Oryzias latipes: one gene and its partner. The protein of the gene in region 2 purifies or fractionates together with the protein of the main gene of each other region. This does not show direct contact. Links are inferred from orthologs where the notes say so. Each region holds a gene or a part of one and is shown on either strand. Other genes may lie near its edges.

Region 1 (12,587 bases), on a different chromosome or scaffold from region 2:
CCTGATTTAGGAGGAAAGACAAGAGCTGGGTAAATCAGCTGGTCCATACAAGTCCCTCCTTTCCTGTGAATTCCTACCTTTGACGGCTTCTTCCACTGAGTAACCCACAAAAGCAGCAAAGTCCTCGGCTGTGATGGAGGTGTACGCCTGTGCCACCAGGCTGTAGGCCCTTTGCCGTGTGCGCTCTGTGAGGACACATGCAGACACCTGAAGGTTTCCGCTCGAAGGCCATAGGGAGGAGGCAGCAGCCACTAGAGCGTGTGCTCGCAGAACCTCAGCAGTGGGTTTACACGTCACATTTCAGGGAAACAGAGACGAGCCACAAACCTACAGTCCACTCGGCCGGTTCGGTCACCCTGTTTCACCAGTGTGCTAAATGTAGTCCCTCCAATTGTGCACATCCTTTTTAAGCAAATGTTAAGTGAACACACAAACTAAGAAAAAAAATCTTCCTGAAACTGTCAAAGGAAGATAAAAAAAGAACCTAAAAGTCCTGTTCAAAGAACTTTGAGCGTCAGGAGGCAAGCTCACCTGTGTGCAACTGAAGACTTCTATGATGACCCCCCTTTCAACAGTAAAAAGTCCTTGGCAATACTGTCAAGGACTGCCAGCATCCACCAATACCTGCTTACTAATCCAGGTTTTTCTTCTGTGCGAGTGTTTGCACTCTGTGACCCACAGGAGTCCTGGCAGTGGCTGCAGGTCCTTACGGCGTTTCTCCGACGTGTGCAGATCCGTCATGACAGGGGCTGATGCAGCACAGGCTCCTCAGGGTCATGGCCTCCGTGTTTTATCGGCTAGCAACAGCTTGTGTGTACCCACAGCAGGCTGCAGCGTAGCAACAGACCGGAGAAGAGAAGGCGGTCCGGAAATTCCCCTAAACTAAGATGTTTCAAATAGTGACACGAAGCTTCCCGCCCTAAAGTGATGCTCCAGACCAAGCGTGTGCAGGCGTCTGTTGGCAGGGCTTCATGGTTCAGTTTAACACCCCCTGAGCTGAGAGCCAAGCGACTTTGGGGAGCTTCGATGACATAGGCCTGAGGATGTATTTTTACCTCCTTTGGGCCACTAAGGAGTTGTTTGGAGCAGCAGCTGGACCTGCCTTTCCCATCATGACCCTTTGACACTTTAAAGTTGTCCAGAAGGTGCAGAGCAAGACATGCCAGAGCACGGTGACGGGGGTTTTAGGGAGCAGAAACAGGACCTGGCGTGCCCCAGCTCAGTCTATTTAAGGGCCCTCTATCAGCTGTCAGCCTTTCACCTCTTCGAAATAACCTCAACATTTCACCAGCAAAGGCAAAGCAGAAGGGCTTTTATTTTTAACCCACTGAGACCTTCAACAAACACGCGAGTGGCGCACTTCCACATTTTGAGGAGATGTCCAACCTTTGAGGGCCATGACGGTCAAAATGAGAAAAGGGCTTTTTGAAAGAGTGCAAAAGTCACTGGAGCAGGAGCTCAGCTTCATGCAACTTTATTCCAGGCATCAGTGGACAGATTCCCAGATTTCCACAGAGTGAGACCAAGAATTTCAAATGCCATCTATTAAAATAATGTGAAGTTTTCAAAACATATCACTCTTTACTTCTCATTTCAATTTATGTGACTTTCCAATACAAAAGTATAAAAAAGACAAGAAGAAAGGAACAGAATATTACAGAGAACGTGTCAAAAAGTACATCCTTTTTCCTTTTTGAGGACGAGGTCAAAGACGAGTCTATCCACCAGATATCTGAAGAAATTTGTCTGCCTTTAAAGAAGGAATATTCTGAATATTCCTTTAAAAACAATATTGCACATATAAGGGCGTGTCATTGCAGCCCACCTGTTTGTCATACATGACCTTACATTTAATTAATAGAATATTCCTAACATATCAAAAACAAAGAAGCCTCCAAAAACATTTACAAAGTTATTTGAAACCATTTTTAGTTACTCTTCCTCCTCCTCAGCATCCTCAAAATCTTCATCATCAGCAACGCCAAAGTCCATTTTAGCTAGGAGGGTCTCCACATGCTCTGTGGACAAAGTGAAGTGGTCCATCTTCTCAAAGCCTGGCTCTGGCCGCTCCTCCCCCAGGGAGGACTTGGCTGCATCTTTGGTTTGTGTGATGAGGCCCTTGGAGAGCAGCAGGAACTCGGCCGCTCCGTTCTGCTCCAGTGCCCTGACAGCTGAATCCGTCAGCTCGGTGCTGGCCTGCAGTCGTTCCCCGTACCGCTGAGCCAGCGCTCGCAGAGCTGCCACCTTCTCGTCCTGCTCCTTCCCAATCTGCTCCAGCAAAATGGCCTTGCGCTCTTCCAGTATGGCGTACAAGAGGTCAAAGCGCTCGGCGAGCCCCTGTTTGGCGGTCTGAGCGTTGTCCTGGACGGCACGGCAGGCGTCGTCCATCTGGTTCAGCAAAGCCTGCAAGCGAGCATTACTAGCCACCAGGGTATCTATCGCGTTGCTCAGTTCACCTTTCTGGGTCTGGTACACGGTTTCTAGAGGAGCCACCTCACAGTCTTTGTGCTGGCCGAACACTTTGCACATGGAGCAGGTGGGAACCTGGCAGGTCACACAGTAGATGTTGATCCTCTCATCGTCGTGCTCCTGGCACATGGGCTCTTTGGATTCTTTGGTCTTCAGGCTGGTCTCCGTGTCGCCGCTGTTTCGACCTTCTTGCTGCTGCTTGTAGATGTCAATAATGTTCTCCACCAGCAAGTTGCGCTGGAGGCCATGAACACCATGTCGGTCGAGCACTACTTCAAAGCGGCAAGTCGGGCAGCGGAAGACTCCGCCCGAGTAGCGGTATGGGTTGCGCGAGTCGTAGAGATCACTGGCACAGCTACGGCACAGGTTGTGCTGACAAGGCAGGATCACCACGGGCTTGGTGAACATCTCCAGGCAGATGGGGCAGCTCAACTGCTTCTCAAGACTATCCATGGGGCTGGGGGGTCGAACAATGGATCCTGTCCTCTGGACATCCATAATAAGTCTCTGTTCTAAAGCCGAACAAACAAGTGTCCACACCTCCAGCAAAGTCAAAAGGCCTTGGTAAAAGGATCAGAACGGCTAGCAAAGTAGGCGATCTCGTCTCCAACAGTCAGTTCCAAGGCTACGATCTATTCTGGTCAAGAGCTTACAGCTCGGTCTTTTATAGGGGCGCCGGCAGCTGGTGACACCCGATCTTTTCCATCCTGACAACAAACATTCCTGACTGCTGGAAGGCCTAGGATCTTTTCATAGAACTGCACCACCATCCACAGCCACTTGTGTCACATGGCCCAGTGGGCACAACACTCCCTGACAGGACACCGGGACAGTGGACCGATCCGAGATAAACAAGGTGCATGTGACTAGATGTGAGGAGCACAGCCAACATCCTGCTCAGGTCTCCTGATAAACAGCAAGTCAACAGTTTGATTTTTCCAAATTCAACCTTTTCTCAGGGTTATTCATCAGTGGGTAAACATGGAAACACATTCATTCTCAGGGTTTTATATTTCAAGGGCTTATCACATAATAAAGGGCTTTGTATTCTTATACCTACTTTTAAGTATTACTTATATTTTATTATGTTTTTGGAAACAGAGCGAACTGACCAGTGAGCATTTTAAATGACAATGACTATAATTATTCTATTCTAACTTTAACAAAAAGTAAAATACACAGGATGTCAATCAAGGGCAACAATGTAAGACCATGTGAAGAACTACAGACACATCTTTCAAGTATTTTCTCTTGCAAATAATTAAATGTAGAAGACATAGTGTCCTAATACAGTAAAAACATGTAATGTGAATACTTTGGCACTGGATAAAGATCATGTTGGTGTGTGAGCCCCGTGTCCTCAGCAGATGTTACCCAAGAGTGTCATGACTGTCTGTTTTTCAGCATGAATGGCAGATCAACAGCAAGCACCATAAACACCCAGAGAAGCTATTCTTAAACTCTGGCACAAACATCACATGACAGCAACACCTCAGTCTTCAGCCCGTCAGAATAAAAGCCGTAAGAAAATCCATCCGTATCAAAAACTGAGCGTGTAAGAAAATAAGCAAATATTCCATAAAGTGGACATAAAGCATCACAATTGGCCCTTCAGCTGTCACAAAGTCCAACTGGGGTATTTCTTATCCAATGAAAATCCTGAAGTCACTTTAGCAAACCCACAAGAGGAGCTTCCTGTTCCACACCAACCCCAGAGCACAATGTATGAACAGTACTAACTTTGCCTTAATTAGTGGTTTGTAGAAGAAATGATCAGATCATCTTAAAGAACTTAAATCAAGTCCTGATTTTTGTAATTACCTCGAAGGGCCTCCATGACTGGGAGGATGTTTTCCGACCACTGGTGAGCTTCAATGGCTGAGTAGATCCCTGGAAAGTCTCTCTGCCAAATGTGCTGGCCTACGGTCCAGATCGCTGTGAGCTCGGGGTTCGCCTGAATGGATCACAGAAAGACAAGTCCATGTTCCCGCACCGTTTCATGAAGGCAGGGGCTCTAAAAACCCCTGTAGGTGGACTAACACCTGAATACGGTGCCGTTTTTAAGACAGACAAACATCAGGAGTGTCTACGACTGAAGCCAGTCAGACTATTAGCAGCATAGAAAGAGAACAGTGACATCAGTAGAAGAAGTGGAGAGCAACTGGTACTTTTCATGAAATAAAGGGGAAAAAAAGGCCTTGTGATTACTCACCGATTTGATTACTTGTGGAACTCGCTTCCATAGATACCTGGCATTGTTCCTGTTAGACGCAATTCAACAGAAAGACATAAAGAGGACATTTGAGATGAGACATGCAGCTGCAGGCAGCAAAAATGGGATTCAACCGAACACAAACAAAGCTGTACAAAATCTTAGTCTCTCTTTTTTTAAAGATAGACATGTTTTAAAGCCTTGTGGTGTGAAGAACCCTTCTGAGTGAACGCTAAAGGACTTCCCTGAACACTGGCTCTAGTTCGTCTTTCTCTTTTGTTGTCCGGTTTGAATGCAGTCAGTGCATTGCTATGCTTGAACACTTGTGAGTGTAATGATGCTGAACAACAACAACAAAAAAAGGATTAACCTCAAAGGAGGCTGGGAAAAAAAGACTTTTGAAAACCTGAAACATTCAGAAACTCTTAGAATTCTTTCTGTGGAAAATCTATTCAGAGGAAGGCCTCGTTTTTTCAAGACAAATCGATGCATCTTCCAGAGGCTCGCGGGAGCGCGCACGCGCGCGCTTCACCCACATGTCGTTGTGGAGCAGGTAGAGGGCCAGCAGCTGCGCGTACACCTGCGGGGTGGCGATGCCTCCTGGCGCCTAGCAACAGCAGAGCGGGGAGGGGCAACGGGGGAGACAGGAGAAGCGAGTTAGTCTGAGCATGCGCGGACGTTGATCTTTCCTTTCTAGTTTTGAATGTAGTAAAGCCAGAGGCTAACTGAAGACAGTTTTAACGACATTTCTACACCGGGATATCCCACAGATTGCGCTTAGAATCGACAGCAGAGCGGATCCCGCGTCTGCACACATCGCTGAGTCTTTCTGTTCGTTCTGCCAACGACGTTCCGTTAGCGACGGCTAGGAGCCGGAGCGTCCTGACAGTTACATCGGCGCTAGCTAGCATCATTAGCCTCGGCCGTGGCTAAAACAGCCGAGGCGTCGCGCTGCCGCAGACGCGTCAGCGGCCCACTTCCCCGCATCACCCGGAAGCGTCTGCTCCTCACCTCAAGCTCCTGCGCCTCGCATTGCTCCTGTAATTTATCAAAGCTTTCCTCCATAGTCACAGCTGTAGGCATGATGACGCCTAGCCGAAGCGCCGGAGCTTCTTCTGTTGTAGGGATTCAAAGTAGAGCTTCCGGGGGAGCGACACACACTGCCCCCTGCTGGACGGAGTTTAAATGTATGGCTTTCTTCCAAGAAGAAAGAAGACTGTCGTGTCATACTGCCACCATCTACAGGCGTAAAAAAATATTTTCTGTAACAACTACCCTGAACAGTTTCTCTTACAAAATCCAAGGAAACAATCCTTTCTCTTTCTGTGCTGCCAGTTTCCAAAATAACATGGAAAAAATTCAAACGAGGATTTTTTCTCATCTTGTTTCTCATAGTTGAGGTTTACCTACCTATCATGAAAATTACAGGCCTCTCATCTTTTTAGGTGGGAGAACTTGAACAATTGTTGGCTGACTAGATTCGACCTGAATTCTTGAACTATTTTAATAAGATTAAATTCAAATGATGCAAATGAACAGTTGAATGTACAGTTTTATTGCAGTAATATTTTCATTAAATAAATATGAACCAAATTGACTGTGAATTCCACATTTGAAGACTACAAATAAAATAAAAGGTCTGCCCGCAAAATAAAAGTTGATCAACAATACATTTGGGTTCCTATGAAATGTTAAGTTTTATTCACTGTTAAATGCTCAACGTGAACTTCTAGATTTAAACTGTTTGAACAGGAAAACTTAACACAAACTGTTTTCTCTTTCAGTACAAACCTCTGTACTTTTAACACACACACACACACAAACTGCCATTTTAGAAATGATTCACTACAGAAGACTGAATAAAGAACTTCCCTGCACTAATGGGATGCTGATACTGAGATCTCGATTGCAGCAGAAAGGTCAGATCTGGCTCAAAGACTGCCCCCCTAGTGACAGACCCTCAGTCCCGTCCTCACGCGGTTCTTATTTAAGTTCATAACAGAGAATGTCTTCTCTCACAAGCATGGAGCCAAACAAGCTCAGGCATTTTCACAGCGAATCTTTGCGTCTGTTTAGAGCGGCCTATATCCAGTTCCAAGAGAGCTGGTGGTAAAACTTGACCAGAGGGAGCCGGTGGCCACTAAACATGAGACGCCACATGAACGTGCAGATGCAGCAGGTCCATCAAAAACCATTGGACTGTTGAAGGCATTCAAACCAAAAATTTAAAACACAAAATAAGACTTTATGCAGATGATGTTTACTATTTACTCCTAATTCACAATCTTCCATCTGCCAAATCATCTCCCTAATTAATAGATTTTCCTCAGTTTCAGAATACTCCATAAACTGGTCTAAAAGCACAATTTTACCAATTAATTGCAATTATCTAAATCCGTCATCTATTAAAATACAAACAGGCAACATAAAGTACTTAGGTATAAATATCTCCTCTAGGCTTTCTGATCTACTCAAGCTAAACCACACCCAACTACTTAAAACAACCGAGGCTGATCTCACTAGATGGAAAACTCTACCCATTTCTCTAATCGGGAGAGTTGCAGCCATAAAAATGATGATTCTCCCAAAAATTAACTACCTATTTTCAATGATTCCTTCCAAACCTCCAACTACTTGGTTCAAATCATTAGACTCATTCATTTCCCAATACCTCTGGGAAGGTAAACCCCCACGGATTAGTTTAAAAACTATTAAAAAACCTAAAGATAGAGGAGGACTAGGCCTTCCAGACTTCCAGGACTACTACTCCGCGAACAGATTGTGTTATGTACAAAAATGGCTGAATCCTGGTGTGCTGGATGAATCCTGGCTAGACATTGAACAAAATCTCTGTGATAACCTAGATATTTCTAATTTACCTTTCTTCAGTTCTAAAATTAAACAACACAAATGCTTCAGAAGTTTAAACATCAGCTCATCCTTAACAGCCTGGTGGGATTTTCTTAAAAAAAACAACCTCACATTATTTCCATGTAAACTTACCCCCATTTGGAACAACCCTGACATTTTTATTAACAAAAACATGATTCATTTTGCTTCATGGAAGAACAAAGGAATCGAGCAGTTCCAGCATATAATTCAGAATAGAAAATTTATGTCCCTCTCAACGTTATCCTCAACCTATGGAATTAATATAAACAAATTTCTAGAATATCAGCAGCTTAAATCAGCTATAAGCACTAAATACTGCCTGACCCAAATAGACCTAGACCCTCCCCTTACAGTAACACATTTCATGGACCTTAAAAATCCCAAACTCACCTCCAAAATTTATAAGATGTTATCAGACATAGATGAAACCATTTACTTACCCATGACAAAATGGGAGTCTGAGCTATCATTGAATTCTAGTGATCAATTTTGGCTACAGATCTGTTTGAATGCCTTTAATATGACCAAAAGCCCTAATCTGCAACTTATTCAGTACAAGATTCTCCACAGAACTCACTACACCGGACAGAGGTTATTTAAAATGGGTCTCAAAGAGTCTGCTACATGCACACAGTGCATAGGTAACAACATAGACGACTATTTGCATGCCCTGTGGGTCTGTCCACCTGTCCAATCATTCTGGCGTAAGGTTTGTGAGGATTTATCAATCTGGTTTAATCATAAGATTCCTGCTTGCCCCAAATTCTGCTTATTAGGTGACCTGAATAACATCAACATGGAATCTAACAAGGCTTATATGGTTCTCACCGCTGTATGTATCGCAAAGAAAACTATCCTCCTAAACTGGAAATCTAAAAATAATCTTAGCATCAACCACTACAGAAACCTCATGTCAGAGCATATTAGTTCAGAGATAATGTCCTCCACAAAAAACCTGTCGGCTTCAGACTCTCCCTGGCTCCAGCTGGTTAGTCACATCACCTAGTGGGGGTGGGATGGTGATAGGTTGAGCCGGGTCCTGGCTGGTTGGGTGGGCCGGGGTGGGTTTGGGGGGGTGGGCTCTGCCGGGCCTGTCGTTCTCCCGGCTCGGGGCTCTGGTTGCCTGGGTGGGGTGGTGGTGGGGGCGCACACTCTGCCGGCAACTTGGCAGGGGTTCCTGGGCGGGTGCCTGCTGGGCGCAGGGTAGGCAGTGCGGCTGACCGGGAACGGCGGCCGGGTGCCGTGCTGGGTGGCTGGTCGCCGTGGCGGGGGCTGGGGGGGGGGCTTGGGGCTCTGGGGCCTGGGGTCGTCTGCCCGTGGCCGGTGTTTCGCCCGTGGCCGGTAGTTGGCGCGTGACCTGGCCCCCCGGGGGTCGGCGCCGCAGTCACAGCAGGGGTTAATGGGTTCACTTGGGTGGGTTTATTTCATTATTATTATTATTATTATTATTATATTAATTATTTTATTATTATTATTATTATTATTATTATTAGTATTAGCATTAGTATTATTATTATTATTATTATTATTACTTTTTTTTTTTTTTTTGGGGGGGGGGCCTGGGGGGGCAGGGTGCTAGTCCTTAGGGGGGCCAGGGGCTGGACCCCCTGCCCCCCCGTTCTGGCACCGGGACCCTTCCTTGCTGGCTGTCTCTCGGCGCCGCGAGGCTCTGGCCTCCAACTGCGGCTGGCTTGGCGTTTCTGGCTGCCCGGCCGCTCTGGGAGGGGGAGCGCCTACCGCGGCCGGCTGGGGGGCCGGTCGCTCGGGGGAGCCTTCTCCCCCGGTTGTGCCCATCCGCCCGCTCCTCCCCGCTCTCACCCAAACAAATATTGCACACAGGCACATAGGGCCCCGGGATCTGGATGGGAGGGGTATGCTGGCGGGGCTCACTGGGGATGCCCCTCTCTGGGTTCTCGTTGGCACCCGCCCTCCTCCCCGCTTTTTACTTGCATATTAGACACTCTGATTCATCTAGGGCCTTGTGGAGAGGGTCTGGTGGAGGGGGGCACGGTGAAACATCCGTGCTCACCTTTCGCTGGCCCCCCCACAATTTTAACTTCCTCTGTAGACACACACACTGCATGCTAGCAGCACACACACAGCAAATACACACCACTCACAGAGGGACTCCGGAGTGGGGGGCTTTGCGGCTTGGCAGCGGTGGATCCCCCCACACTGGTGACCTCCTATTTTACCTGCAGCACACACACAGCACTCCCACACCTCCATACATGGGTGGGGTCGAGGGGGGGCGGCCGGTCTTCACCCGCCTGGTCCTCTCGGGGCGGCCGGGCTTATGGGTGTCCTGTCGGCTGCGGGAGGGGTCGGGCATGCGGCGCTGGGGGTCGGCCGGCTGGGGGGGGGTTGCTGCTTGGCGGCGGGGGTAGGGAGGGTAACCAGATGATTGTGAGTATGTGTGTGTGAGTGCATGGGTAGGACCGACCTGGGGGCTGGCTCGCTGGGACCCTCTGGGGCTTTCCCTCCCCATCACAGAGAGGGGAGGGCACTGAGAGGGTTGGGGAGGGGGGGTCAGATATTATGGCGGGGGGGGGGGGTAGTGCGTAGGGTTTTTGGGGGGTGGCTGTGGCTGTGGGTGCGTGGCGATCCCTGGGTTGCTAAGGTCGCGGGCCTGGGCTGGCTTGCGGGGACGGGGCGCCGGTCGGGTGGTGGCCGGCTCTTGGGTTCCTGGGGCCCTGGCTTCGTCCCTGGCCTTTGTCTCGGTGTCCGGCGCCCGGTGGCCCCCATGGCTGCCGCCTGGTACGGCTAAGCGCTCCTGTCTTGTGGCCTGGGGGCCGGACACTGGGTTCGCTTGTGCCTCTGGGCATTGGGGGGGCCCCTGTAGGGGGGCCCTCTCTGTGCCTGGCTGGTGGGGTGGGCGGTCCCCTCCTCCTCCCCTCCCGGGCTGCCTGGGTCCGGATGCTGGGGGGGCTTCTGGCCTGGGGGGCTCTCCTCCCCTCTCCTGGTCTGGCTGGTCTGGCTGGGTAGGATCTGGCTCCCTTTATGAACACACGGTTCACGTCGGCAGCATGCATGTATCTCCACCCCCACGTGCACGTGCACACTCCACACTGCTCCCTGTCTGCTTCATCCCTCCTCCTTACCTACAGTGTATTGATGGACAGTTTTTTTTTTCTCGCTCATCTTAGTGTCAGATTTTCACCTTTGATGTAACATTCGTCTTTCCAGCAGATCTGGTATAATTGTTACAGCTTAAATTAATAACTTAGTCAAATCAGTGCTTGTATCCCCCACCTTTTCACCTTTCTTCCTTTTACTCTCTTCCACCCTCCCCTCACATTCTTCCCCTCTCCCTCCCCACACACACTAAATGTAACAAATAAATAAAAAATAATACGACAAAAAGGGGTTTATACAAATCTACACTCTAGTTTCTTGAAGCTATATAACCTCTTTTTGTGATAGTAAAACCTGTCCAACACAAAAAGCCTTCAGCTCTAATCTGTTTGCTCAGCTGTTGGACAGAACAAGTTAAAAAAAAAAAAAAAAAAAAAAAAAAAAAAAAAAACCATTGGACTGGACTTCTATACAACATACAAACTATGTCCACTATTTTGACATCTAATAACGACCTCCTATCTCGTCTCTCCGCCTCTTATACAGCAAAAAAGAAGTAACCACAACAGGATGGAATAACAAAGACTAAAACAGGGTGAGACAACGTAAGACAAAAGCCAGATGACAGGACACATATGCAAAAGAAACCCCATTTGTATTAGAGTATAATACAACATAAGCAAGTTGTTTGCAATTTTTTGACTCAAGATGAACAAAACAATATGACATGACATGAAAATGTTAGGAATGTGGGCGTGGTTAAAAAAAAAAAACTGAATTGCCAACATAATCCAAAAAATTACTTCTGGATTTTGAGGACAGGAAGACACAGACAGATTCAAAGGCAGAGTAAAACATCAGACAGACTTGTAAAAAAAGGTTCCAGGTGATGTAACATGTATAGTGAGGATGAAGCTGCACACTGGAGGACAAACTGAAATGGGGAGCTTGAGTTTGAGCTAATTTGCTTCTCTGAGACCTTTGAAAGGTGTCTGCTGCGTCACCAGTGGAGTGGATAACCGTCACAAGGATCCGATGAGAGCCAGAAACACAATAAAGCCAACACAGACAGGCTGAACCTGCATGAGGCTGGCTTCCAGCAAACAGAGCTGCAGCCATGTCCATCCGCCTCACTGCTGCAAGAGTCAATGGTAGATCCATAAACGGCACTTTTTTTCCTTGATTTAAACCCAAAGTGTTTCCATTCACTCATGCACACACTTCATTGCCTCACATTACACAAACCTCAGTCAGCAGGAGCAACGTGGGGCTCAGTGTTTTGCCCAAGGACACTTGGGAGGGCAAGGCGGGAACCAAACCTGTGATGTTAAGAGGTCAACTGCTCTACCGCTTCACCACAGTAACGGAAGCTGCACTTGTGCTGTCAGCAGAGGACAAATTTACACTTTTCAATGTCTCAAACGGTTTCATAACACCTCCAGGGCAGATGCAGTCCTTTATGGAGTGCATAAAAATAGATAAAAGAAACAACAGCAACTGGAAAAGAAGAGACAAAAATAGAATCAGGTTGAAACAAAATTAATGGCAGTTTTATTTATTTTTAACATCAGACACTTTTTATGTAAGAACAAAATCTCAAAAGACTTCTGACTTCTGAGGATTAGAACTCTTGGCAGCCCCAGTGTGGCAATGCAAAATGCATTCAATGCTCTTATTGAGTCCATCACCTTAATTTTGATTTAGAGGGCCTTTATTATAAAAAAAAATCCACTTTTTGAGCTTGTAACCCTTGTGCTATCTTAGATGACTTCCTGCTTTTTCTGCCACAATTATCACAAAAATGCATGTGAGATTGCGGGGGGGGGGCTGTAGATCAAAACAGACTATGAGTGTCTGCTACTGTTTTTTTTTTTTTTTGGATGCTGGTGTGCCACGGGATTTTTGTCTAGATGACCCCCCCCCCCCCCCCTTGCATTGA
Region 2 (12,479 bases):
TTTACAAGTGAGATTTAGATTTTGGCATATGTGACAGAGCCTTTTGCCACTTTCTTTTGATTATTATTTACATTTTGTTCCATTGAAAACCTTGCATCAATAAAGTTCCCCATTCACCATCCCTGTTCCCCTCACTCCTCCTCCCTTTTCCTCTTCTTATCCCCATTGGCTCTAGACTGGTGGTGTGAGAGGGCCAGTTGAGTACGGTACAGTAGTAGAGTGTGAATTGAGTTCCAGTACTAATAGGGTGCTTAAAGTCTCCCCCCCAGTGGACCCAGAAACCCAGGAAATGGTCGACAACCTGGCCAGGTTTGTGGCAGAGAGTGGCCCCGAGGTGGAAGCCATCGCTGCTGAGCGCAACCGAGACAACCCCGCCTTCAGGTCAGACATCTTTATGACTGTGTGTGTGTGGGTTATTTTAGTGTCGTCAGCGACTTCTCTGGTCTTAAAGGTTTAAGCTCAGTTTCTAATATGCTATTTGCTGATAGCCTTATATTATATCTGACGCCAAATATACCGTAAACCTCTTTTTCCCCCCCAGTTTTTTGTATGATAAGCAAAGTCCAGCCTACAAACTGTATAAGGAGAAACTCCGGGAGTATCGTGGCACAGCCCCTCAGAGCTCCTCACCTCCAGCAGAAAATGTCAGAGCAGACGTTCAGCAGCCAGCAGCTCCTCCATTACAAGGTTCCTCTGCTTTACGGAGCGGCATGTCTGGGCCTCCACACGAGGGCTCAGAAACGCCTCCTGTTAAACGGAAGAGAAAGAGCAGATGGGGATCGGAAGACGACAAAGTCAAGCTACCGGTTCCTCCGATCGTTGTTCCTAATGAAATTACCCCCGAAGACCCGAACACTCCCTCTCTTTCTGGTACTTACACTTACTTTGAAAGCATGATCTACACTTCAATTATAGATTTTTTGGATATTTGACTTTTACCAGTTGAAAATGAATGATTGATGCGTCTGTTTTAGCCCAGGAGCTCAGTGGCCTTGGTTATAAGAAGGGGAAGCCACTTGGTCTGGTGGGGGTGACAGAATTATCTGAGGACCAGAAAAGACAACTTAAAGAACAACAAGAGGTACAAAGACAGGCTCCATGATGTCCTGTGTTGTGTTGTGTTGTTTTTAGCTTCTCTTTTTTTTTTTTTTTCTCATGGCAAAAAGGAAAGTCCATCAAATAAGTGTTTGTTTTCAGCGGGGACAGCTCTCTGATCCTCCAGGGGTTTTGTTTTCTCCACAGATGCAGGAAATGTACGACATGATAATGAAGCACAAGCGTGCCATGGCAGAAATGCAGAACATGTGGGAGAAAGCCATAAAAGAGCACCAACATGAATACGACAGTGATGAAGAGGTCGATCAGGACGCAGGAACGTGGGAACACCAGCTTCGAAAGATGGAAATGGAGAAAACAAGGGGTAAGACCAAGAAAAATACAGAAACGCTGCTGATTCAGAAGTAAATCATTTGAACCTGTTGTGCTTCTCCTCAAATGTTTAGTCTTAATCAGGATCATTTTTTTAACTCCTCATTTGCAGCTTCTAAGGTCAGATTAGTTGGTTTTCCAATTTAGGGCCCTGTCTCTTGATTCAAGGAGCTTTGCAATTGAATTTTACAATTTCATTTAGATTTTTTTTTCAGAGACAAGCTATTTTCTGTCTCTCAGCTACAGTTTTGGGGGAGGATTTTAGAAATGGAGAGCTGGGAGAGGAGGAAAATTAGTTTAAAAAGAAAAACCAACTCATTTATTGTGTTATTGCTTTGAATGTAGTGGTTTTTTTTTTTACTATTACACATTTTTGGTTAATTTGATTTGTTTTATGTATTTTTAATTGGAGGGGGGGTTGCTAAAAATGACAGTTTGTCACGTTTTTTTTACATCTTTTTTTGGCACAGAAATCTTACAATAATCGTTGGATTTCTAATATATCTGCAGTCACATTTTGGAAGAGTAAAAATGAACATGCCCCATGAACTCATGCTTTAATAAACGCACATAACCCTTTTTTTCTGTGGTGATGAAATTGTTTTGTGCGTTTCTAGAGTGGGCAGAATCCCTGACAGAGATGGGCAAAGGAAAACATTTTATTGGTGACTTCTTGCCGCCCGAAGAGCTGGAGAAGTTCATGGAAACCTTTAAGGCCCTAAAGGTAAGTCCTCCTTTTAGTAAATGTGTTTGTGAGCCTTTGGGAGGTAATTGTGTGTAGAAAAAAAAAACAGTAAACAGTAACATATTGCATTATTGTGTAAAACATTTTAAGACGAGGCTTTAAAGAAGGAAAGATTTATTTATGAAGCTCATTTCAAAGTAAATTTCTTACAATTAAATTATATTTAGTTTTTTTATATAAAACTACTGGGTTTGGCTGTAGTTAGTTTAAAATCTTAATCATTTAGTTATTTATTTCAGTCTTGAGTATTTAAGCTAAACTTTACAGAGAAGAAGTTTCTCTAGATGTTCTCTGGGAAAATGTTGTGATGCTACAAAGGTGTGACCTAATATGCTCACATTAACTGGGATTCAATCTTATTTTTTGTAAAGACTCACTCCAATGATTTTGGTGGGTTGGGTAAAGAATAATAGATCAATGTTTGAACAAAATCAAAGATCCAGATATGAATGTGTGATTCTTATTGGATCTTCTCTGATTTGTGTTATTCATTTATTCCTTTAATGAGAGCACACAATATACAATCTCAAAAGCTAAACAAATTCCCAAACTATCTAAAATGCATTTAGCATCCAGTTGGACCTCATTAGTCGCATTTAAACAATCTCTGACAGCTGCAGAGTTGTTTTTTCTGGCAGGCCACAGGCATCTTATAGCATTAGGGCTCTAAACTAGTAATGTCAAAACAAAAAAAGCACCACAAATGTAATATATATCTATCAAAAATTCCATCAAGTATACTATTAGGACGGTTATCTCTTATTGACTGAAAGAGGTATTTAAGCTCTCAGTGGAACCATAAACACCAGGGGATTTGTGGATATGCAGATGTTTTTTTATCTGTATCTGTATCTATGCTGCATAGACAAATCCCTAAAGTTGTCCTCGCCTTCCATGCTCTGTGACATGTCTGCACACTTTTGTCTTCTCAAATTGCAGGAGGGTCGCGATCCGGACTATTCTGAGTATAAAGAGTTTAAGCTGACAGTGGAGAACCTCGGTTTCCGAATGCTCATGAAGATGGGCTGGAAGGAAGGAGAAGGCCTTGGAAGTGAAGGACAAGGAATCAAAGCTCCAGTAAACAAGTACGTCTTTATGCTTCTCAAGTTTTATGTGCGACTGACTGACCATACATACTTAAAACTCCAAGGACAGCTCAATGATTAACTAATATTTCATACCAGTTCTTAGTCAGTTTTACCTTCAATTTCACCTTCAATTTAATCCAGACATAATATTCAGTTTTTTCATGCTGTATTTTTTTTATATCTTAAATTTTTAAGGACGATAATCTAATAATCTAAATTCTGTTTCTTGTAAACTTTTACCAAATTAGTCTGTCATACATCCACACATCAGCTTCTTAGAATGAAGCTTTGTATAGTGACTTTACACACAAAATATGTCTGAAACAGCATCACCTTCCTTTCAGTTGTCAGTAAATCAGACAGAGATAAATGCGTTTTTTCTTTCTGTCTTTAATCTTTTCCAGGGGAATTACAGCCACAAATGGCGGTGGTTTCGGGGTTGACCGTCCAGCTGAGCTCACAAAAAGTGACGATGAATACGACGCTTTCCGAAAGAGGATGATGCTTGCTTACCGTTTCAGGCCAAACCCCCTGGTAACAATCTTCTGCTAAAACTTGTTTACAACTACAGAACTCTCAAAATTGTCGTTTGCTAGTTTAAATTTGCATAAAGCATTGTTCAATAGTTTACCATCTCTTAGATCTGTCCAAATATTTGCACAGAATTTAATCTACCTTTTGTGTTTCTTTTACAGAATAATCCACGACGACCGTATTATTAAAAAAGGGAGTTCTTTCTGTTTGTATCTGTAATATAAAAGCGAGTTGATGTCACTGTTTAGCTTGTTTTTGAAATGTAAACTCTTAATTTAGAACTTAAGCAATTTTAAATGTGATGTGTGAAGAAAGATAAAGTGGGAAATAATGGAAAATGCATTTTTATGTTCATTTAAAAAACTCCTTACTCTGATTGCATTGGATGGAAAGATTTTCCACTGTTTTGCTACATTTCAGATGTAAAAAAAAACGGAAGATCTGCATCGTTGGCATCACTAAGTACACTTTTTTGTGTAGTTCTTACATGGAGTGAGGTCCTCACTGTGCTGTTTTTTTTCCCATTATCTTGAGCTTTGTTAATAATGAAAACAGCAACTCACTGAAATGTAAATGTCTCACATCTTAATAAAAGTGATAAATAACAACTGTTTACTGTGAAACGAGTTTGGACTAAAGAAACCTAAACTAAAGAAACAATCGGATTCACCTGTGTGTTAAGTGCAGGTATTTCTGCAACCTTATCTATCGTTTCCTCACTTCAAATCCATGAACCTCTGAGTTAAAGTATCTTTGACTGAGACTATCAATGTAACATCCTCCAGGTTTACATGGGACAAAAATAACTACCGTACATATAGCCTTCCATCACCTATGTCATCAATCAGAGCCCACTGACATCGGAACATGATTTCATCTTTACTGTTAGAAGAAGGAAAATAGTGTGACATATCAAGAAGAGGTTTGTAATAAATGTTGCTGTTTAAAACTTGTCAACTTCCAAAACAAATAGAACAAACAGAATAATATGTATTTTTGGGTGAAAATATTTAATAAGATGGCCTAAATCTTACTCAAATTTAGGCATCTTGTTTTAATTTCTCAAGCTAACATTTTGACCCTTTTAATCTGATATTGACCAAAGGTCACTAAATATCTAATATTTTTATTTGTATTAATTATTCTTTTGCATATGCGTTCAAAAGTACCTGGTTCCTTATACATCTTTTCTTGGTTAATATTGGTTTTATTTTATTTATCTTTAAGAGTTAATGCTCGTTTGCAAATAAATAAATAAAGCTGTTTTACTTATTTTAGGGTCCCATTACAAATATTTTTATTTTTTTACTTTTTTTTTTTTTTTATGGAACAAATGTTTTGTTTTATTTATTTATTCTCTTTTTTCATGTTTTATTTTTATATCTGTGCCCTAAATCTGCAAGAATTTTTTTTTCTGTAATTGAATAAACGATCTACCTGTATAACAGGTATAAACTATTATCCAAGTCATGCATTAAATAAAAAGGATAAATCTAACAAATGATAAAAATAATAAGACCCGCCGTGAGACATTCCTAGTTGTCGCCGCTCCTGCGCCTCCGGGAAGCGGACGAAACTTTGATTTGACGCAGTAACGTTCGGCACAATCTGCGCAAGTTCGGGAGGAAGGTAAACAAGATGGCGACAACCTGAGAGGAAAGAGTATTACGAATTGTCAGAGATTATTAAGTGTTTTCTCGGAGGGGGGCTCAGAATTCCGAGCGATATTTCACTGTATAAGGACAGACGGACACTGCGGTGGAGACCGGTTCATATGGATTAAGGTAAGAGCCGGTACCGGGAGGCTGCTACTAGTGCTAGCTTGCAAAGCGACTAGCTGGCATTTTACATGGGACTCATAAGCGTCTTGCTAGCCAGCGGTTAGCCGTGCGTTAGTAGTTCCATTTTTGTTATCTGTTCGGTCTGTTTCCGGGAGTTAAATCAATCCCGGTCTGATTTTTCTTGGTGGAAAAGTATCCTGCAGTGTTGACAGGAAATTGTGTTCGCCTCTGACGAACTTTGCTAGCTGCTGTGCTGCACATCCACCGTTAGCTGCAGTTTTGTGACGACGTTTCGGTTATCTCCCTTGCCTGCATATCAGTTCTCAACTTTTACCGAAAAAGGTAATCGTTTTTACCGCTGCTTGCTTCTGTGTTTATATCGACCTAACTGGCCCGACATCTGTGTAGATCCTGAAGAATCAGCAAGTGACAGCTCGAATGGGAAAGATTGCTCATTCACTCAGCGAGAGTTGCTGACCTAGCTTAGCCGCTAACCAACCGTCCAAACTCTTTAAATGTTTACATTCAGATGTTCCTTTGTTCTAACTTTTTTTTTGGCGATAAACTTTTCAAAGTTAGAATTATGTGTAATAAAGCAGACTTTGACTCCACTCTTTACAGCGCTGTCAACTAAGTTAACCATAGCCCAAGGGGGATTTCAATTAAAAAGCTAAGTTTCTGAAGTTCTTGTGGGGAAAAAGGCGCCCGTACATTTGGAATAATAATATTTAATATAAAGTCATTTCCACCATCAATGTATTTTTTTCCCATTAAACTCTGCCTTCGTTTTGTTTTTGTTCTAATAAGTCTAATACCTGATTAAGTGCTAATTTACTGGAAAGAACTAACGTTACATGACTGTTATATTTTATTCATGGGAAATTAAACACGGAGAAAATTTATAGTTAGTTTGTTTATAATTATGGCAAAATATCACATACACAAGTGCAAATATGCTAACAGAAAAACCTGTATGATAGTTTTTTTTTTTAAATAAAATAAAAGAGAGAGACTTGTAAAGGATTGAATCCTGCACTAGAAAGAACTGTTTAACCAGTTGAAGCTTGGTCTCATTTAAAACTTTAGGAGTCTTTTTTTTCCCAAATATTTTTAGCCTTTATTTTTCTTTTTTAAATATTTTAAGTATTATTGCTTTTTGCTGTTTTTATTCAACCTCCTGTCACAAGTTCAATATTTTTGTAGGTAGTATTATAAGATATTCTGTATGTGCAATGTTTGTCAGTAAAGTTTGTTTAAAAGATATATATATATATATATATATATATATATATATATATATATATATATATATATATATATATATATATTACGTTATAACTTGATCCTTTTTTTTATAAATGCAAGAAAAAACAAAGTACTACAAAAAAATAAGTCTGCAAATATTGAACAGACCCATAATGAGAACATATTTGTAAAGGATTATTTTTGATGGCATCCCAAGAATCCCTGTCCATCGCAGATGTATTCTTATTCGATTTAGTAACAGTGGTACAAATGACTCCCTTTGGGTCTTAATGAAGGTTAACCAATCTGGTGTTGTTGTGTAAACAGCTGGATTGAAAAGTAAACTGTATAAATTGGTCTTGGGAGAAATACATTTTTGACTAGTTTTTCATTTGATACTTGACCTTTTTCCCAGGCACTAAACAGTGTTGAGATGGAGGACACCTGACACTGGACGGTTCGGTCGACCTCCCGACTGACACCAGGAATTGGACAGAGCCTGCTGCTTTTTGCCTCCAATCTGAGCTCATCCAGATATCCACCCTAGTGTGTCCCATGGAAGTTGTGCCACACAGTACGGATCTTTGACAGCAATGCCGTGCTGCCAGGTTTTGAGGGAAAAGACATTGCCTTGACCTAAAACTGTACTGTAATTAATAAATTAATAGGTGATTGAGACTAATAAAGGATTAATGTTGTAGAATTATATATTTTTAATTTTTTCTGCAAATGCACCTATAGCTTTAGTTCCTAATGCAGAGTTCTAGGCGCTAAATTGTCACAGCAGACACCCCTTCTCATTGCTCTTGAGGAAGAAGAGTCCTAATGTTTACAGATGTCCAACTGATAATCCCTCAACTCCAAGGCCTCATAATTCCCTCCTCCATTTTCAGTATTTTTCAAATTCTCCCCCTTGAATAGAAACACCTGATTTCCTGCTGACAGATTAACAGTGGATTTTACCCCAGTAGCATTAAAGCCGTTTGCAAACATTGTGTTTCACACAAGGCTAAAGGTGCAGTGTTTGAACTTTGCAGTCATGAGTGCCGGAGAGCTGCATCATCTGGACTATTTAAATGAAAATGAACTGATGGAGATGGACACTTTCATCCACCGCATTGATTCTACAGAGGTGATCTACCAGCCACGGAGGAAGAGGGCAAAGCTAATAGGAAAATACTTAATGGGGGATCTTTTAGGAGAAGGATCTTATGGCAAAGTTAAAGAAATGCTGGACTCAGAAACACTTTGTCGGAGGGCTGTTAAGATCCTGAAGAAGAAGAAACTTAGGAGGATTCCCAACGGTGAAGCCAATGTGAAGAAGTAAGTTTTATTTTATTTCATTTTATTTTTTAGTGTAATCTTGTGCTGATAATTCTCATACTTTAAAATTTAGTTAATTGAGCACCAAAACAGTTTATTGGCTTTTAACTTGTGCGAAGTGTAATGTCTTTGTTTTTAAGAGTAGATTGTGTTTTTATTTAAAGCTCTTTGAGTTGGAAAAGTGAAATTAAATAAAATTAAAATGAAATTGGATTTGATTCACAGGAAAACCCATTGGAGGCGACCACATTTCAGTATTTGTCTTTGTTTTTCTAATCTCGCTAAAGTAACTTTTAAGTTGGAAGAAAAGCTGCTGGAATATTTTTAGTTTTAGTTTTTATGAGGACAGCAGGTTTTCTACTAAATTATTTTGACAAAGCAATGCAGAAAATAGATTAGAATAATTTAGCATCTCCAAAAACTACAAATCAGACGACGGATTCGTTCATTTCTACAAACAGTTTTAGTTTTGGGATCAAATCTATTTTTTTTATTCTGTAACTGCACTCCACAGTTTTGTGACATCACTTCCTTAAAATATAACGAAGAGTTCATCTTTTCGGTGAGCAAAGTGAGCAGTATAGAATAAATTGGCAGCTCCAGATGACAATTGTGTTTATTTACTAGTGTTTATGTCCATGAATTTTTTTATTTATGTTTTTATTCATTTTAATCGTGCTCTTAATGTGAAAGAACAGCTCAGCAATTTCCTAACCTCCACTTTAGATCCATGACTTAAAGTCTGGCAGAAAACAAATATATAAATGGTATTTAAATGCACTTTGTTCAATAGGTTGTCAATTAATTAAAAATAGAAAGCATATTTGAGATCAATTAGATACCAGTTTTATTTTTTTATTTTTTAAACCTGATTGTTGTTGGGAGTTTCTGTTACTGAGATTCCACTATGAGGATCAAAATAACTTGATTCTCACATGGCTGTCAGAACTGACTAATCGCAGCTTAATCACTATTTTGCCAAATTGGATGTTCATCTTTTCTGCATCGTCTCTTCCCTGTGGAGCATTTCAGCTTTTAATTACATTACCATACTAAACTAGGAATCCAGGCTTTTGCTAATTGTTGAGATGGCTCTGGAAAATGGAATAAATGGGTTCCTTCATGAGGGGTAAAAAAGGTCTTGTGCCTGTCAAAACAGCAGGACTAGTAATTCCAGGAACAGGAACGAACTGCATAGAACTGTTTAGTTGTTGCCTCCTGAAGGATGTGCTTTAATCTCTTACTTTTAGCAAACACAAAAAAACAAGAAAATGGAATTTTATCTGTTCCACATGTCGAACAAGGGTTAAAGTTTTTACAAGAGAAAGAATTTTCTAAACTGGAAATGCTACATTGTGTTGTGGTGCTCTGCAGGTATATCACTGATGCAAAAAGGACAGGAAATGTAGTGTTTACAGGGTTTACAGCACCCTGAGCATGGTGGATAAGGGACATTATTTGTCCGCAACAACGACGCTTTCCATGTTGGCAGCAACACTTCAAGGAGATGGATCTCCAGAACAGTTACTGGAAACCAACAGCAAATTAAAAAAAAAAAATGTGTGAAGTTGGGTAATAGCCCTGCTAACCCTTCAAGCTTTACAACAAACATGCTGAAAATGAAAAACCTGTTTGATGCAGCCATGAGCACTATTTCTGGCCCTCTTTATTATGTTTTCATCCGTGACTCTAGAGTTTGTGTGTAAAGAGCAAATGTTGGAGTGAAGAGAAACAATTCTACAGCTGCACAGAAAGACCGTAAAGGGAGAAACTGAATACATTTCAAAACTGAATCTCTTTGTTGCTTTGAAAAGAGCCAATAAAAATGTGTGAGGAAGTAGATGATGATGCTGGATTACACCCCCATAGTTTTTCACAGTCTATAACGCAAGTTTTCCTGTTGCTGTGCTTATGATAGACCTTGAGAATTTTTACACTCTGTGTCTGGATGTCTCTGTCTCTGTGAGTGGATACTTTGATAACCTTAAGCTGATATTTTTCCTCTTTGGCTGCTTGGCATTCCTGTCTTCCAAACAGTTTATCTATCAGGATGGGCAAGCTCTTACTTGCAGTGATTAAGCACTGCCTTCCTAGTTTCTATGGTAACACCCCAAGAAAGGCCTTTCAGGAACGATAGAAGTGCACAGATACGCAGACACACCCTGATTGACTTGAACAGAGCACAGCTTCAGATGTTGGCGACTTGTTTATGTGTTGCTGCTGCTGTTGGTTTGGTTAGATATCGCTGAGTGTTGCAGTCCTGTCAGCGCTGCGGCCTGTAAGCGAGCAAGGTCCTTCAGTACACGTTTGAAGTGACGCCGTCTTTGCAGTCCGTGCGCCTTCTGTGCTGACATGGCCTCTGATTCCATGTTGTGGATTTCATTAGGTGTTTGGATGCACCATTTTACACATTTCCTTTTTGTTTATTGTTCAGTTAAAATTAGAGTTTTTCCCCCCACTAGTGCATGAGTTTTTATACTTTTCTGAGCACTGGTGCAGCCATGTGTCAAATTAAGACCCTTCGTTTTGCCTTTTTTAACCGTGAATTTGTAGTGAAAATGAAGTTGAGGCAAAGAAAAGCTTCTCTTTGTCTTTTACTTTTGTTTATTTTGTCTTCATTACTCCATAGTCTTTAGAACTATTTGTCTTTTGAAGGTATATGTTTTCAACAGAGGCACAAACAATATCGCTTCCCTATGTCCCTAAAGGTCACACATGTGTTATGCAGGAAGGAGAGAACGACAACGTTTTGAGCACCAAACTACAAATATTCTCACGTGTCTGGACTTGGATTTGCAATTATCCTACCCTTTCCTTTATTTCTTTTGCGTCTCTTATCAATGAGGCCACATTGTTTCATATATTTTGTAAGTATTTGATTGTCTTTTCAGTTGGTTTCAGAGTTTGATGTTGCTTTATTGTCTTTGAAGTGAAGCTCATCCTGTTCCCTGGGCTCATTTAGCAGATTCCAATTTGTGTGTTTGTTTGCTTTTTGAAGAAAAAAAAGAAATAACACACCCTCCACTGGAACAGTACTTCACCAAGTTAATCCCGTCCTCAGAACAAACAACTTACGCTAATCTTTCTGTTACTTGGCTTGTGAAAGATGTCAGCAGACTCTTGCTTGCTGCAATGTTTGCCACTTTGACCTGCAATTACTGGAAACATTTTCCAGCATTTTGTGACCCAGAATTCTTTGTTTTCATTGTTTTTAACCTAACAATGTTTTTCCTTGTCATATCTCATTTTCATTTTTAGGGAGATTCAGCTGCTAAGAAGACTCCAACACAAGAATGTGATTCAGTTGGTGGACGTACTTTACAACGAGGAGAAGCAGAAAATATATCCTCAACCTTCTTTTTTAAATGTAGACTTAATCGGATTAAAACCACAGATAAAAGAGCAAAGAAAAATAAAATAAAAATTTGTGGCTGTCAAGTTTTGCTTTAGATTGTTTTGTTTTTTTTAAAGCATCTGGTATGTTGCATTTCCTTGACTCTCGATTTACGTATATGGTGATGGAGTATTGTGTTTGTGGGATGCAAGAAATGCTGGATAGTGTTCCAGAGAAAAGATTTCCAGTGTTCCAAGCTCACGGGTGAGTTCCCTTTTCTCTCCCTTCGCTCTCCAGTCTGAGCCTCTCTTTTTTTTTTGTTATATTTAGCCTCTGGAGTCGCTCCTGCAAGTCTAAGTTTAGATCAGAGTTTGCCAAGCTTTTCTGTAAATCAAGCAGCCAGAGGTTCAGTAAATGTCTCATTGCTCTTGCAAAGCCACTTAATCTGACTTTTCAATTAATTAAGCTTTTTCTGACCACAGTATTGATTGATTGATTGATTTTTGTAAATGCTACCTTTTTTTCTCTGTTGTTGCTTTTTGCAGGTACTTTTGCCAACTTATAGATGGCCTTGAATATTTGCACAGCCAGGGAATCGTTCACAAAGACATTAAACCTGGAAATCTGCTGCTAACCACGGATGGGGCACTTAAAATCTCCGACCTTGGAGTAGCAGAGGTGATTTTGGGTTGTGTTGTTTCTGTCAGGTTTCACCTTTCGACAGCTCTGTTTGTTCTTGCCACCTGAACGTTGGCATGTGCTTGTGTAAGAAAAGGCATTTGGAAGTTTTCTGTCTGTTTAAATCTATGTAGATTATATTCAAAGAAAGATCATTTATTTTGAAAAATGATTTTTGTTCATATTCACTTAATCCACATAAAATAAATGGATTTATTTTTGTTTGGCTTAAAAGAATGACGACAAAATAGGTCAATCATTTTAAAGATATGTACATAATTTACAGGCCCTTCACCCATTTGCTGAAGATGACACGTGTCGCA

Evidence for each region.
Region 1: the proteins of stk11 (region 2) and cops8 purify together in Homo sapiens (affinity purification with mass spectrometry; 3 studies listed by BioGRID and IntAct, with this or other methods). This does not show direct contact. The link is inferred for Oryzias latipes from reciprocal best matches to the Homo sapiens genes STK11 and COPS8.

What each region holds. Positions count from the first base shown.
Region 1 is NC_019879.2:1,334,499-1,347,085, reverse strand, and holds the start of cops8 (COP9 signalosome complex subunit 8), read right to left. Parts: upstream 5,825-12,587; 5' UTR 5,765-5,824; coding exon 5,693-5,764; intron 5,289-5,692; coding exon 5,218-5,288; intron 4,731-5,217; coding exon 4,682-4,730; intron 4,424-4,681; coding exon 4,291-4,423; intron 3,498-4,290; exon of another isoform or gene 532-3,497; intron 186-531; coding exon 78-185; intron 2-77; coding exon 1-1. UniProt on the Homo sapiens protein: Component of the COP9 signalosome complex (CSN), a complex involved in various cellular and developmental processes.
Region 2 is NC_019875.2:22,741,863-22,754,341, forward strand, and holds the start of stk11 (serine/threonine-protein kinase STK11), read left to right. Parts: upstream 1-5,341; 5' UTR 5,342-5,579; intron 5,580-5,684; exon of another isoform or gene 5,685-5,918; intron 5,919-7,236; 5' UTR 7,237-7,860; coding exon 7,861-8,144; intron 8,145-11,402; coding exon 11,403-11,486; intron 11,487-11,652; coding exon 11,653-11,742; intron 11,743-12,023; coding exon 12,024-12,156; intron 12,157-12,442; coding exon 12,443-12,479. Other genes in the region: sugp1 (SURP and G-patch domain-containing protein 1), read left to right, coding at 258-381, 542-870, 975-1,081, 1,243-1,420, 2,046-2,152, 3,113-3,258, 3,666-3,795, 3,957-3,983. UniProt on the Homo sapiens protein: Tumor suppressor serine/threonine-protein kinase that controls the activity of AMP-activated protein kinase (AMPK) family members, thereby playing a role in various processes such as cell metabolism, cell polarity, apoptosis and DNA damage response.